Linked DNA regions of Mytilus edulis. The protein of the gene in region 2 purifies or fractionates together with the protein of the main gene of each other region. This does not show direct contact. Links are inferred from orthologs where the notes say so. Each region holds a gene or a part of one and is shown on either strand. Other genes may lie near its edges. The genes, in order: mRNA turnover protein 4 homolog, GTP-binding protein 4-like and ribosome biogenesis protein NSA2 homolog.

Region 1 (3,760 bases), on a different chromosome or scaffold from region 2:
AATATAACAGAATTTGACGGTTTTTTTAAAAAAATACTTTTAAAAATATGAGTCAAGTACAACTGAATCTAGTCATGTCACAGGACTTAGGTTCTAGTTCTCATCAATGCTAGTCTCATCACACTCTGCACATGAGTACCATCTGATAGGCCTGTATTCTCATTGGATTTGTATTTTGTATTTTTTTTTAAGTTGAAAAAAGTTTTTTTAAATGCAATCAATAAAAAGAAGAAGATAAGCCATTATAAGGTCTGATTGCCAATAAGAGAACTCTCTTCAAGAGACCAAATGACACAGAAATTAACAACTATATGTCACCATATTGCAAGTATTGTTTTTTTCTACTTATGAGTTTAGTGTCTTTACCCTGCAACTAATTTTGTATATTGTTCGTGCTTTGAAAGACACAAAAACTCAAAGTTTTATGCCTTAAAGCACTGCCTTTAAAAAAATCAATTAAATATAGTTATCTTAATTATTTTCCATTTCTTTCTTTTTTGAGACTCCATAAATTGGCTATTATGAGACCTCATTTTTACATTCAGAATGGTCTCAGATAGCAGGAAATAGAATGTAGTTCTGAAAAGTTTTCTTGTGGGGGGGGGGCATGCCCCCAAACCCTGCTAGAAGGTTCAGGTCGCTGACGCGACCCTCATCGGTGACTTAGGGCTAGGCTGTTTTTATCAGGACTACGCTGAACAAATTTACTCTAGACCTGTGGTCTTAACAACATTTTAAACTAAATTCTATCCCTGCTGAGTTGGGTAAGGCATATACTAATATGACTGAGTTATTCAGATATTAACAGGTCAGGAATAACCACCAATTAGTGGATTATACCTCAATTGACGTGTAATCCACCAATTGACATATATGGGTATAGACCAATTGATGTATAATGGGAGTTTTTTGTAAGAAAATGCTAGTGTGAGATAGGAGCATGATTTTGCAACTTGCAACCTATTTTATGACCTTTATTGAGTCCTCTGAAAGTTTCAGTTTTGCCAAAGCCTGCTGCATCTCTTGAGAATGCATGTGTACAACAGTTCTTTTGTTGAAACATTTGTACTATTGACCATGATTGACTTTTGATAATGAAAGTGAAGTATTTAAAACAAAGAGTTCCATTCACCTGTGGAGTTGTACTCATGATCACATGACTGCAGACAGTATTGATGTCCATTGACAGGTGATTAGTGGTAAATTTGCCAATCAAGAATTGACAAGATATATAACAATATAAGAAACTGCAAATACAATTATTGATTAAATTCATAGGCGGATCCAGGGGGGCCCTGGGGGGCCCAGGACCCCCCTTTCGTGGGAAAAATTTGGTTGATTATATAGGGAATCATTGAAGCATGACTGGAGCAGGCCACCTCTTAGGAAAAGTTCTGGATCCGCCACTGAAATGCAATATGTAATGTCACTATACTAAACTAGGAATGTTTTACAAGTTTTCATACCATAATATGTTTTTAAGAAGACAATGCTCCATTTTGGTGGAATAATTTGCTTTGAAAAACAAAGAATTATACACCAATTGGTCTATACCATTATATGTCAATTGGTGGATTATACATCAATTGAGGTATAATCCACCAATTGGTGGTTATTCTTGACCTGATTAATGAAAAAAATATCAAAATTGAAAGTGAAACAAGGTTGAACAATTTAGTTACACAATGTAACTACTTCAATAAGAAAACTGACAAACATCAATGAAGATTGGAGTTCAGGGTCACGTTCAATATCGTAGGGGCTACGTAAATTGATGACTATTGAACAAGTAGTTAGTATAGCTGCTACATAGTAATAGGCTAGCTACTAGTTCAATAGTCATAAATCTACGTAGCACTACATAGCCCCTACAATATTGAACGATATTGAACGCAACCCTTTGCACCAGCAAGAGCAGGGTTCGAACTCACAACCTCAGCGTTGACTAGCTAGAATCGGACTTCTTATCCCACTCGGCCCCCGAGGCCCCTTGTTAGTCACGAAAGTACCGTAACCCCCATAAAAACACTCATACAATGTACCTAGTAGTAGTAAAAAATAACTATAGTATAAAATTATAATCCCAAATATTTTCAAACTGTTAAAATTTCAGGGATTTTACAAAATGACTGTAACATTTATTTGTATTTTGTAGTGTGTATAAGCAGTTCTTTGAATAAACAACAATATAATAATACTTTTCTTGTCCCTTTTTGACTTTGGCATCTTGATAATAAAATGTACACAAACACACGTGTTTTTTTCAACCGGAAATAAGGAAATATTCCTGTTTTCAGGAATTGAATTAAAAAAATATTTTTATTAAAATTATTACACTTTTTATCAATTCCAATTCGAAAATATCATTGAAAATAATTTATGGTAAAGTTTTATTTATTAACAACGTTGACCTTCGACACCCGGCTAGGAGTTGACATAGCAACAGTGACGTTAGGGCTACCTTTTCGAAAGAATGTAATCCCCGAAATCTATCGAAAGAAATGGAATTCAAGAGAAGATAACCCACTTCCAGGTTTTAGGAATTTTGATGCAAAATAGTCCCACTGCATAATATATTCGATTATTCAAACGATAACTATTTTTATTCTTTTTAGTGAATTAATCTTCCCTGACATATTTTTATAGAATATAAACAATTAAACTTTATCATTTTAGTCCATGAAAATAAAGGAGTAGCGGAAGAATCAGTGATGTCACCTGTACTTTGATTGGTTAGTGTATTCCGCCATATTGGGAAGGTGGAGATAGAGTAAAGAGTAGTAGACTTCAAATTTCGATTATTTACAAATATTTTAACCATGTCGGAAGTCGAAGATAAAAAGGAACGCGAGACACTAGTTCAAAAAGCTAAGTTAGCTGAACAAGCTGAAAGGTATGATGATATGGCCGAGGCCATGAAAAAAGTGGTCGAAAAGTTTAGGAAGTTGAACAACGAGGAGAGGAATCTACTTTCCGTTGCCTACAAAAATGTTGTTGGTGCCCGGCGGTCATCATGGAGAGTAATTTCAAGTATAGAATCTAAGACTGATGGCACAGAAAAGAAACAGCAATTGGCTAAAGATTACAAAAACAAAGTAACAACCGAACTCCAAGAAATTTGCAAAGACGTTCTGGTGAGTGAAAGTTGACGGATGTTTCTTGTTGTGTCGTTTTGCGTGCAGTTTTCATTGCATGTTTATTTTTATTGTGTTTTCTTTAAGTTATAGATGTTTATATATCAAAGAAAATATATTCTACACCCGATCGCAATACACAGATTCAGATAGCATCGTTTTTGCATGTGCAGGAAGACGAGAATTTGGATCATCATAAAATTGGCATGTGTTTGTATATTCATCCGCGTCATTGATAAAAATGTAAAAATTTTGCATGAGTCATGAGCTCATCATCTCCTCTGCAGTATTATTGCAGATCTAGACACTCCGTGGACATCTTGAATGCAGTATGCAATGATTTATCTTATTGTTCACAGAATCAACAGCTTGGCAGCACTGATTATATAATGGAGCACTCTGCATAAATTATGCAAAAATGACAAACCTGTGTGATTTTCCACTATGAAGTACTAGTATCCATATTAAAATTGCCAGCAGTTTTTAAATGCATTATTCTTGGCTTGCATTTATATGAAGTCTGTAGGTGTATGCAACTTAAGACGTTATACATGTAGTTAAATGCATAAAAAATAAAAGAAGGTTCTTGTACCAAAGGATTTTAAAAAGGCTTAATGCACTATATA
Region 2 (3,760 bases):
AGCAATTTTAAATAACTTAAATTGCAAACATTCCAATCCTGTCTTAATTTTTGATATATTTGATTAATATTTAATTTCCTGGCGAGTGCTCTCAATAAAATTATTTTTTGTTTAAGCTAAGAAAGCAACAACATTCTAACAGGAAACCAATTAGTTGAGTATCACTTTGGTAATCGATACTTGGTACTACTGAGCGTTACTCGAGTACTCAAGAACTCATTGACATCCCTACTTTAGAGATATTAATGTTCCGCGTCATATGAGTATTTGGACCATATGAGTATCTCATATCATGGGGGGTCAGAGGGGTCCAGATCCAGAAATCCCCGGTTTAAAAACATGAAATCCTGACATGCTTGAGGTCACTAATTTTAAAAAAAATCAAATCCCGACATCCCGAAATTCGAATGATGAATTCCCAGATCCTGAAAGGATCAATCCTGAAATCCCGAGCTCAAAAACACCTGATCTGGAGTCCCTATAAAGGTCCATCCCCCCTCTCATAGGGGGTCTCATTGGGGGGTTCCGATCCCGGATCCCGCTTACTGTTTTGTCAGATTCCCGTATCCCGCTTACACTATGTACATAAGCAATTCTCATTTTTTTGTCATTTCCCGGGTCCCGCAAGACCTAATTTCCTGTTTTCACGCCACAATAATTTGACTTTCACGTGTCACGCTTACAAAAAATCGACAATCCCGCGTCACGCTTAGACCCCAATGAGACCCACCTCATATGGTCCAACCATTTGTACATTTTTTGGACTATTATCTAGATATGAGTATATATACTTGTTTGGTTATCGATGGGCCACATCAAATGAGAAATTTGAAACCAAAATTGGCACTGAAATCACATCACATAATACACCAATCAATATGCACTAATAAAAATAGTTTATTTGATGAAAACTACTGTATAAAAAAATATACAGGCCCTGTGAATCAAACTTCGGGTCAAACAGCGTTTTTAACCTTTGATTTCTGACTGATTTATGTCTTCAAAACTGACACTGTCCATTTTTTTCCGGATACCCTGGGATCCTGGCTTACTGCTCGACAATCAACAGAGTTATCGTATATTAGATTGGGTCAGGATGCCTAACTGTTTTTTTCGGACAAGCCAATAAAAACCGGAAGTCACAAAAAATGATAAACTATAACTAGTGAGGAGAGATCCTGTTAATACTACGGAAAATATATTTTCTCGAAAATCTTCACAATTTTAAATTTCATATAAATTTTGAAAAAAGTTCAATTTATTATTTTCATGTCTTTGATATTTATTGTCATGTTTTCTTGGAGAAAAATCTTTTAATTGTCACCAAAATAGTCCGTTGTAGTTGATTATTTTTCATCAATCTTTTATTGGTAGACTTATCATTATTTTCACCAATGAAAATCCAATAAATAATTCACTCCTGGTGAATTGTCAACTTCCTTTTCACGTGTGTGCCAGATTTTGCAACATCAGTCAAAATGTCACACTACAATTTCAAGAAAATCACTGTGGTTCCACCATCAAAAGTAAAGTCAATTGACATTTTATTTGAAGGAAACACTATAGCTAGTTATTTAGTCTTTTGAAATTATGTTCAATTGTAGAAATTACAAAAAGATACATATCATCGTGTAATGTGTTTTCGTACTAATAACAATTTTCACTGCTTACGGTTTTTACTGTTGAGTTTTTATTTAGGTGTTTACTCAGATTTAAAAAGCATGTCCTGTAGATTGATTTTAGGTATCTAGTTTTTTTTGTCAATGATTTCTACGATTTTTTACTGTTTCCGATTACTTTGCGATTTTTGTATGTCAAAAAAACGGCGTCATATGTTTTCGTATGAAATAAAAATTGGATCAGTACACGGACAGGAAATGACTACAAAATCCGGAAATAATTTTTTTTTAAAGTCGTGGTTCTGGTGATCGCTTGAATCATAAAAAAAGTTATTAAATACTTTTCAGTACTAAAAATTACTAGTTAATAGTGTAAGGTTGGTGTTTCGTGTGATGAAATTTTTAGATTTTGATTAATTTTCAGATTGGCACCTGGTTTGTACAAAATACATTATTTTTTCTAAAATAAAATGCAGTTTTCAAAATTTATGATTAAATATAAAAAGTTAAGACTGTTTTCATCTTCATGTATCAAGGATGTATAAAAAAAAATTGTCAATGAAATATTGAATAGTTGGATTTTGAACAACCATTTTATATAAGAACCATGCTAATTTTAACTCGATGGTTTGTAATTAAAACGGCCAAAAAAACACATGACAGTCATATGTCTTGAAGATCCGGTGTCTGACTTGCAAAAAACATATCTGGACTTTATTTTAACCCTTCAGAATTTTTTTCCACAACTATTCTAGTGATGCGTTTTTTTGACATTAAATAAAAATGGCTAAATAGGTCAGTTTTATTTAATTTGTTCTAACGTCTTTAAAAAGCGACGTTGAATATGTTTTAAATATATCAAGTTGTAGTGGTGTTGTTGTTCTAAATATAGAAACAGAAAAACATGCCACAATGTACGCGTATGCAGTCGAAACCGACGAAATGTGGTTGATACGAAAACATATGACATACGAAAACATATGACACGACGATATGTTTATAACATGCCGTTCATGAAAAATTTATGTTTACAAAGATGGGGTTAAATAATAGATTGGTTGATAGTTGCTAGCATCAACGAATATAAGTGGCAACTAAGCAAATTAGTTTTCTTAATACAAATTGAATAATAACTTGCCCGATTGCTAAATCACTCCTCATTGCCCTCAATCTTGAGGCCTGTTAGCCCAAATTTTCTCTATTGTGTGTTTTGCTCAACGTAGTTTCTTCTCGGTGCTATAAAAGGGGTCTCACTAATTAGCGACAACAAGCGTCAAGAAGCGACAACAAGCGTCAACAAGCGACAAGAAGCGACAACAAAAATTATTTTAGCGACAACAAGCGACAAGAAGACTATTTAGCGACAAGAAAACATTTTTTTTTATTAGATATAAAGAAATTTGTATTTAATGTTTTTTTTTAAATATACGAGCAGATATGTCTAATTAAAATGTTTTATAATATAAATAGACGAAGAAATGAAACATTTGTGAGAAAGCTCAAGATTGTCATTAATTTCCTTTCATCTTCAATCAATATGCATAAACATGATAAATATTGCGAGCTTAATATATATTGCACGAAAAGAGTTTTAAAAAACAAATTATAAGATAAATAATATGTTCTAAAACACAAGGAAAAGTAATCTCATAATACAATAATTAAACGTAATACTGGCTGTTATATATATATATTCATAATAGATGATAAAATATTATCATGTTAAATAATGTTTCATTTTTTTCTATCAATTTTAACTTTCTTCGTCGCTAAAATTATTTTCTTTTGCATATTCTTTTAATATTTATTGCAATAATTAATTTTAATTAAAAAAAAAATGTTTTCTTGTTGCTTGTTGTCGCTAAAATAATTCTTATTGTCGCTTCTTGTCGCTAAAATTCTTGTTGTCGCTAATTAGTGAGACCGTATAAAAGGGTATGCACTGGTTAAGAGTGGGATTGTGGAAAAGAAGTATCAAATCTGCAAATTCTGTTTATGAACTCGCCTTCTAATCTGGTAAACATACTGTTCAGGGTGCTCTTTGGATATTTGATTGAACATATCTTCTCGTTTGTTCTCATAGCAAGGACACTCCATGAGGAAAATGGTGAAGTGTTTCACGTGCTCCACAGTTGCATGAC
Region 3 (3,760 bases), on a different chromosome or scaffold from region 2:
TAATTTATTGAATGAAGTTTGTTTTCTTAAGTTTCCCATCTAAAATAAAAAGGAACCTCACTAATGAGATACTCTGTGGTTTCTTGTAAACAGAGAAAGGTTTGATAAGTATGTCCTTTATACTCACTTGATGCCTCTTAGTTTCTTTGCTTTTTCTGCCAATTTATGTGGCATTCTTCCTTCCTTTTTACGTCTGACAAAAGAAAAATCATTAATCATTTGAGTGCACATTTATGACTTAATATTCTGTCTATCTTTAAGTTAGACTGATGCCTGCATGATAACTAAACTTATTTTATCAGGTTTCTTAGATTCTATGTATCAGAATATTTCAAACTATGTTGTTTTGTAAATAAAAGTTACAATGCAAGTATTGAGTAAACAAAAAGTATGTGCCATTATTGTATAGCAATGGAGTATTCACTGTAGAATGTAAACAGCAGTTCCAAGAAAAATGTTTTCTCTTAGCATATAAATTGTGATTGAAATCACAAAAATGCAAAATAATATTCTTCTCAGAACAATATTCATGTCATACCCTGAAAATGTTTATCAAAATTTCAACATGAATAAATAGTTTAAAATCACTACTAAGACTAAGAATTTAATCATGTCTGGTCTAGTGGCAGAAATTAAACAAAACAAGTCTTAATTGTACACATTTCTCCCATTTGGCATATTTATATATCTTTCACACTGAACAGTTCTTAAAATATATTTAGTTATAAAATTTATAATAATCTTTTCAGTTCGCTGAACTTACTTTTTCTCATGGTAATCCAGTCTGCGGCCATGTCTTTTTCTGTGGAGTTCTATATGTTCGTTCTGAGGCTATAGAGAAATTAAATTAAGAACTATCAAACTTGAAAGGCTACTACTATTAATAAATGGAAACCAATGTCCATATCACTGACACATTTAAGTTTCATAAACATTTTAGGCTATTCAAAATAATAATAAATTGACAAGAGAAAATGGAAGTTTAGTCTGTTAATTTTGCTAACTTAAGTCTTAGTCTTACATAGTCTTACATAGTCTGTAACTGAGCGCTGGATCACTCCACTGTGCTCAGATCTTCATTTATTTGCTGACTTGTTTCGGTTCCAGTTCCTCTGTCAGCTTTTGCTCTATAGATATATTTCATTTCACTATTTGTCCAAAATTTACCTAGGCGGCTTTCAAATGTCTGAATAGTAGGTGCATTTACAACGTTGCTGATATAAACTTAAGTATTGTTTCTAAGCAATATGGTTAAAATTTAGAAAATTCTACAGCTTTTTGTTGATAACTCACCTTGATTCGTTCAAAGTTAAATCATTTTTTGAAGATATTTCAATTAATGGATCCAAAAAACTCTTGAACCATTTGTGAAGGGAAGATAATTAGAGATCAATTTCCCTGGGTTTTTTTCTGTGAACAAGATAAGCCTATTGGCCATATATAAGATTAGAAGCATTGTATAATTTCTCTTATGATGGCAATATTTTACAGGAACCTCTGTGATGTAATGACAAACAAATAGCAATACAAAGGGGTGTCTTTGTTGTAAAATATACTAGTCGCCGTCACGTAAAATTGGCACAATGTTTTTTTGGTCAAAATTTTCTTAAATATCGACCGCGTTTACTAAAGATCATGTTTTTCAATTAGCGGAAGAAAAATCCTGTCCAAATATCCACTATTGTCCTACCTTTTATTGTGTTTGTATTTGGACAGGACTTTACTTCCACCAAATGAAAAACATCATTCTTGAGTAAACGCGGCTGATATTTAATTTTTATTTGACAAAAGACATGGTGCCAATTTTACGTGACAGCGACTATAATCCATTACTGCATTTGAACACGAGATATTTTCAAGTTATTGCCATAATACAACAGCAATGTATTTTAATACTTTCTCATCATACATTAATCTTTAACACTCATGATGAAAACTGCTCCCCATTGTGTTTATCTTCAACTGATACGGTAATTCTCAGATCTGCAGTGACATCACAACATGTAACTGACCAATCAATGATAAGAATTTGTGTTATGTAAACAATGTTGAGAGGTGATGCGGATAAGAATCCTCTAGATTTTGCATAGACTTCAATAAAAATTAATTTAATTGATATATATTGAACCAGTTGAATCTAGTAATTTTACCCACTTAATATTGTTAAAGACACTATATAATATCTCAATTTTGATTTTTATCATATTATATCCTCTGGTTAAAAAATAATCAGCAATATAAATAATCAGTTATCACCTTCAAATAGATGAAAAATCAAGAGGAATCCTGTCTGCATCACCTCTTGAAAAATTTAAATACCAGGATGTCCGGATCTGAGAATAGTGATCGCTGTTTCAGTGTTTGTTTTGACTGCCATACGCAACATGTTTATATGTGAATATCGTGTTTTAAGAGAAAAATAGGCATATAGATCGTCAAATAATTACGTATGTATATAAGGGATAGTTTATATAACACTTTGACTTAACTGTCGATGCTATAAACTAACCATTATGAGTTTTTAAAAGTTGTCAATATTTTTGTTGTGAAATTTCTCAGCGACACATGTTAAAAGAAATATACAAAGTTGAACACGGACAAAATCGAAAAATCCGGTTTTTTATAAGGTTTTGCTAAAATACGTCACGGGTACCAAGTCCGTACCCTTAAACTTAATAATTAACCAATTGATAATGATAATTCATATTCATAGTTAGAAAAAAAAAGATTATTTTGTAGATAAACTCATCATAGATACCAGGACTAAAATTTATACATACGCCAGACGTGTTTCGTCTACAAAAGACTCATTACAAAAGATATTATCAAAAGTAATCAGCAGAAAATTAGGTTTATTTCTTCTTCTTTATCTTAATGTTTCCTACCAAAATGAATTATTTTGTATCATCATTACCATATGGCCGTTAGTTTTCTCGTTTTACATTGTCTTATCGGGGCCTATTATAGCTGACTGTGCGGTATAGGCTTTGCTCATTGTTGAAGGCCGACAGTGACCTATAGTTGTTAATGTCTGTGTCATTTTGGTCTTTTGTGGATAGTTGTCTCATTGGCAATCATACCACATCTTCTTTTTTATATTTACTTTAAATACTTCCAACAGAAGTTTGGTTTTTGATATTATAATTTTTAAGACAAATACTCAGACTTTGCAAACATCTGTCAAACTGGTTGAATTCAGCTCTCATTAGGCATTAACAATAGATTAGGTGATCTGTTTAGAAATAGGTCATCTTATAGTCATTCCATCCACCTTTATCTTCCTGCTAAGTTGCTCCAATATTCTTGTGTCAAGGCTTTGATGCTTGATCAGACTTATCAGCTAGGTCAAAATGCTGGAGAAGTTATCAGTAACATCACAATGATTCAAAATTGATTTGAATCTAAAAGATAATATATAGCAGTACCGCCAACAGAAATTTGGTTTTGGTGAAGAATATGATTCCTAAATTTTATTAAATATTCAAATATTGCAAAAATGTCAAAATTAGCTTTTCTGATAATTCTTAATTTGGCCTTCTGGTCAGAAATAGGTCATTCTATTGTTTTAAAATAACAATATAACAAGAATGTGTCCCTAGTACACGGATGCCCCATTCGCACTATCATTTTCTATGTTTAGTGGACCATGAAAATGGGGTATAATCTCTATCTTGGCATTAAAATTAAAAAGATCATATCATAGGGAACATATTTACTAAGTTTCAAGTTGATTGGACTTAAACTTCATCAAAAACTTTAA

The links.
Region 1: the proteins of GTP-binding protein 4-like (region 2) and mRNA turnover protein 4 homolog purify together in Homo sapiens (affinity purification with mass spectrometry; 3 studies listed by BioGRID and IntAct, counting the BioPlex papers as one, with this or other methods). This does not show direct contact. The link is inferred for Mytilus edulis from reciprocal best matches to the Homo sapiens genes GTPBP4 and MRTO4.
Region 3: the proteins of GTP-binding protein 4-like (region 2) and ribosome biogenesis protein NSA2 homolog purify together in Homo sapiens (affinity purification with mass spectrometry; 3 studies listed by BioGRID and IntAct, counting the BioPlex papers as one, with this or other methods). This does not show direct contact. The link is inferred for Mytilus edulis from reciprocal best matches to the Homo sapiens genes GTPBP4 and NSA2.

What each region holds. Positions count from the first base shown.
Region 1 is NC_092355.1:77,874,664-77,878,423, forward strand, and holds the start of mRNA turnover protein 4 homolog, read right to left. Parts: upstream 2,338-3,760; 5' UTR 2,227-2,337; coding exon 2,199-2,226; intron 1-2,198. Other genes in the region: 14-3-3 protein beta/alpha-1-like, read left to right, coding at 2,820-3,134. UniProt on the Homo sapiens protein: Component of the ribosome assembly machinery. Nuclear paralog of the ribosomal protein P0, it binds pre-60S subunits at an early stage of assembly in the nucleolus, and is replaced by P0 in cytoplasmic pre-60S subunits and mature 80S ribosomes.
Region 2 is NC_092345.1:13,258,610-13,262,369, reverse strand, and holds the start of GTP-binding protein 4-like, read left to right. Parts: upstream 1-1,407; 5' UTR 1,408-1,478; coding exon 1,479-1,526; intron 1,527-3,760. Other genes in the region: zinc finger protein 28-like, read right to left, coding at 975-1,020. UniProt on the Homo sapiens protein: Involved in the biogenesis of the 60S ribosomal subunit. Acts as a TP53 repressor, preventing TP53 stabilization and cell cycle arrest.
Region 3 is NC_092347.1:14,142,121-14,145,880, reverse strand, and holds the start of ribosome biogenesis protein NSA2 homolog, read right to left. Parts: upstream 2,610-3,760; 5' UTR 2,513-2,609; coding exon 2,510-2,512; intron 832-2,509; coding exon 764-831; intron 194-763; coding exon 128-193; intron 1-127. UniProt on the Homo sapiens protein: Involved in the biogenesis of the 60S ribosomal subunit. May play a part in the quality control of pre-60S particles.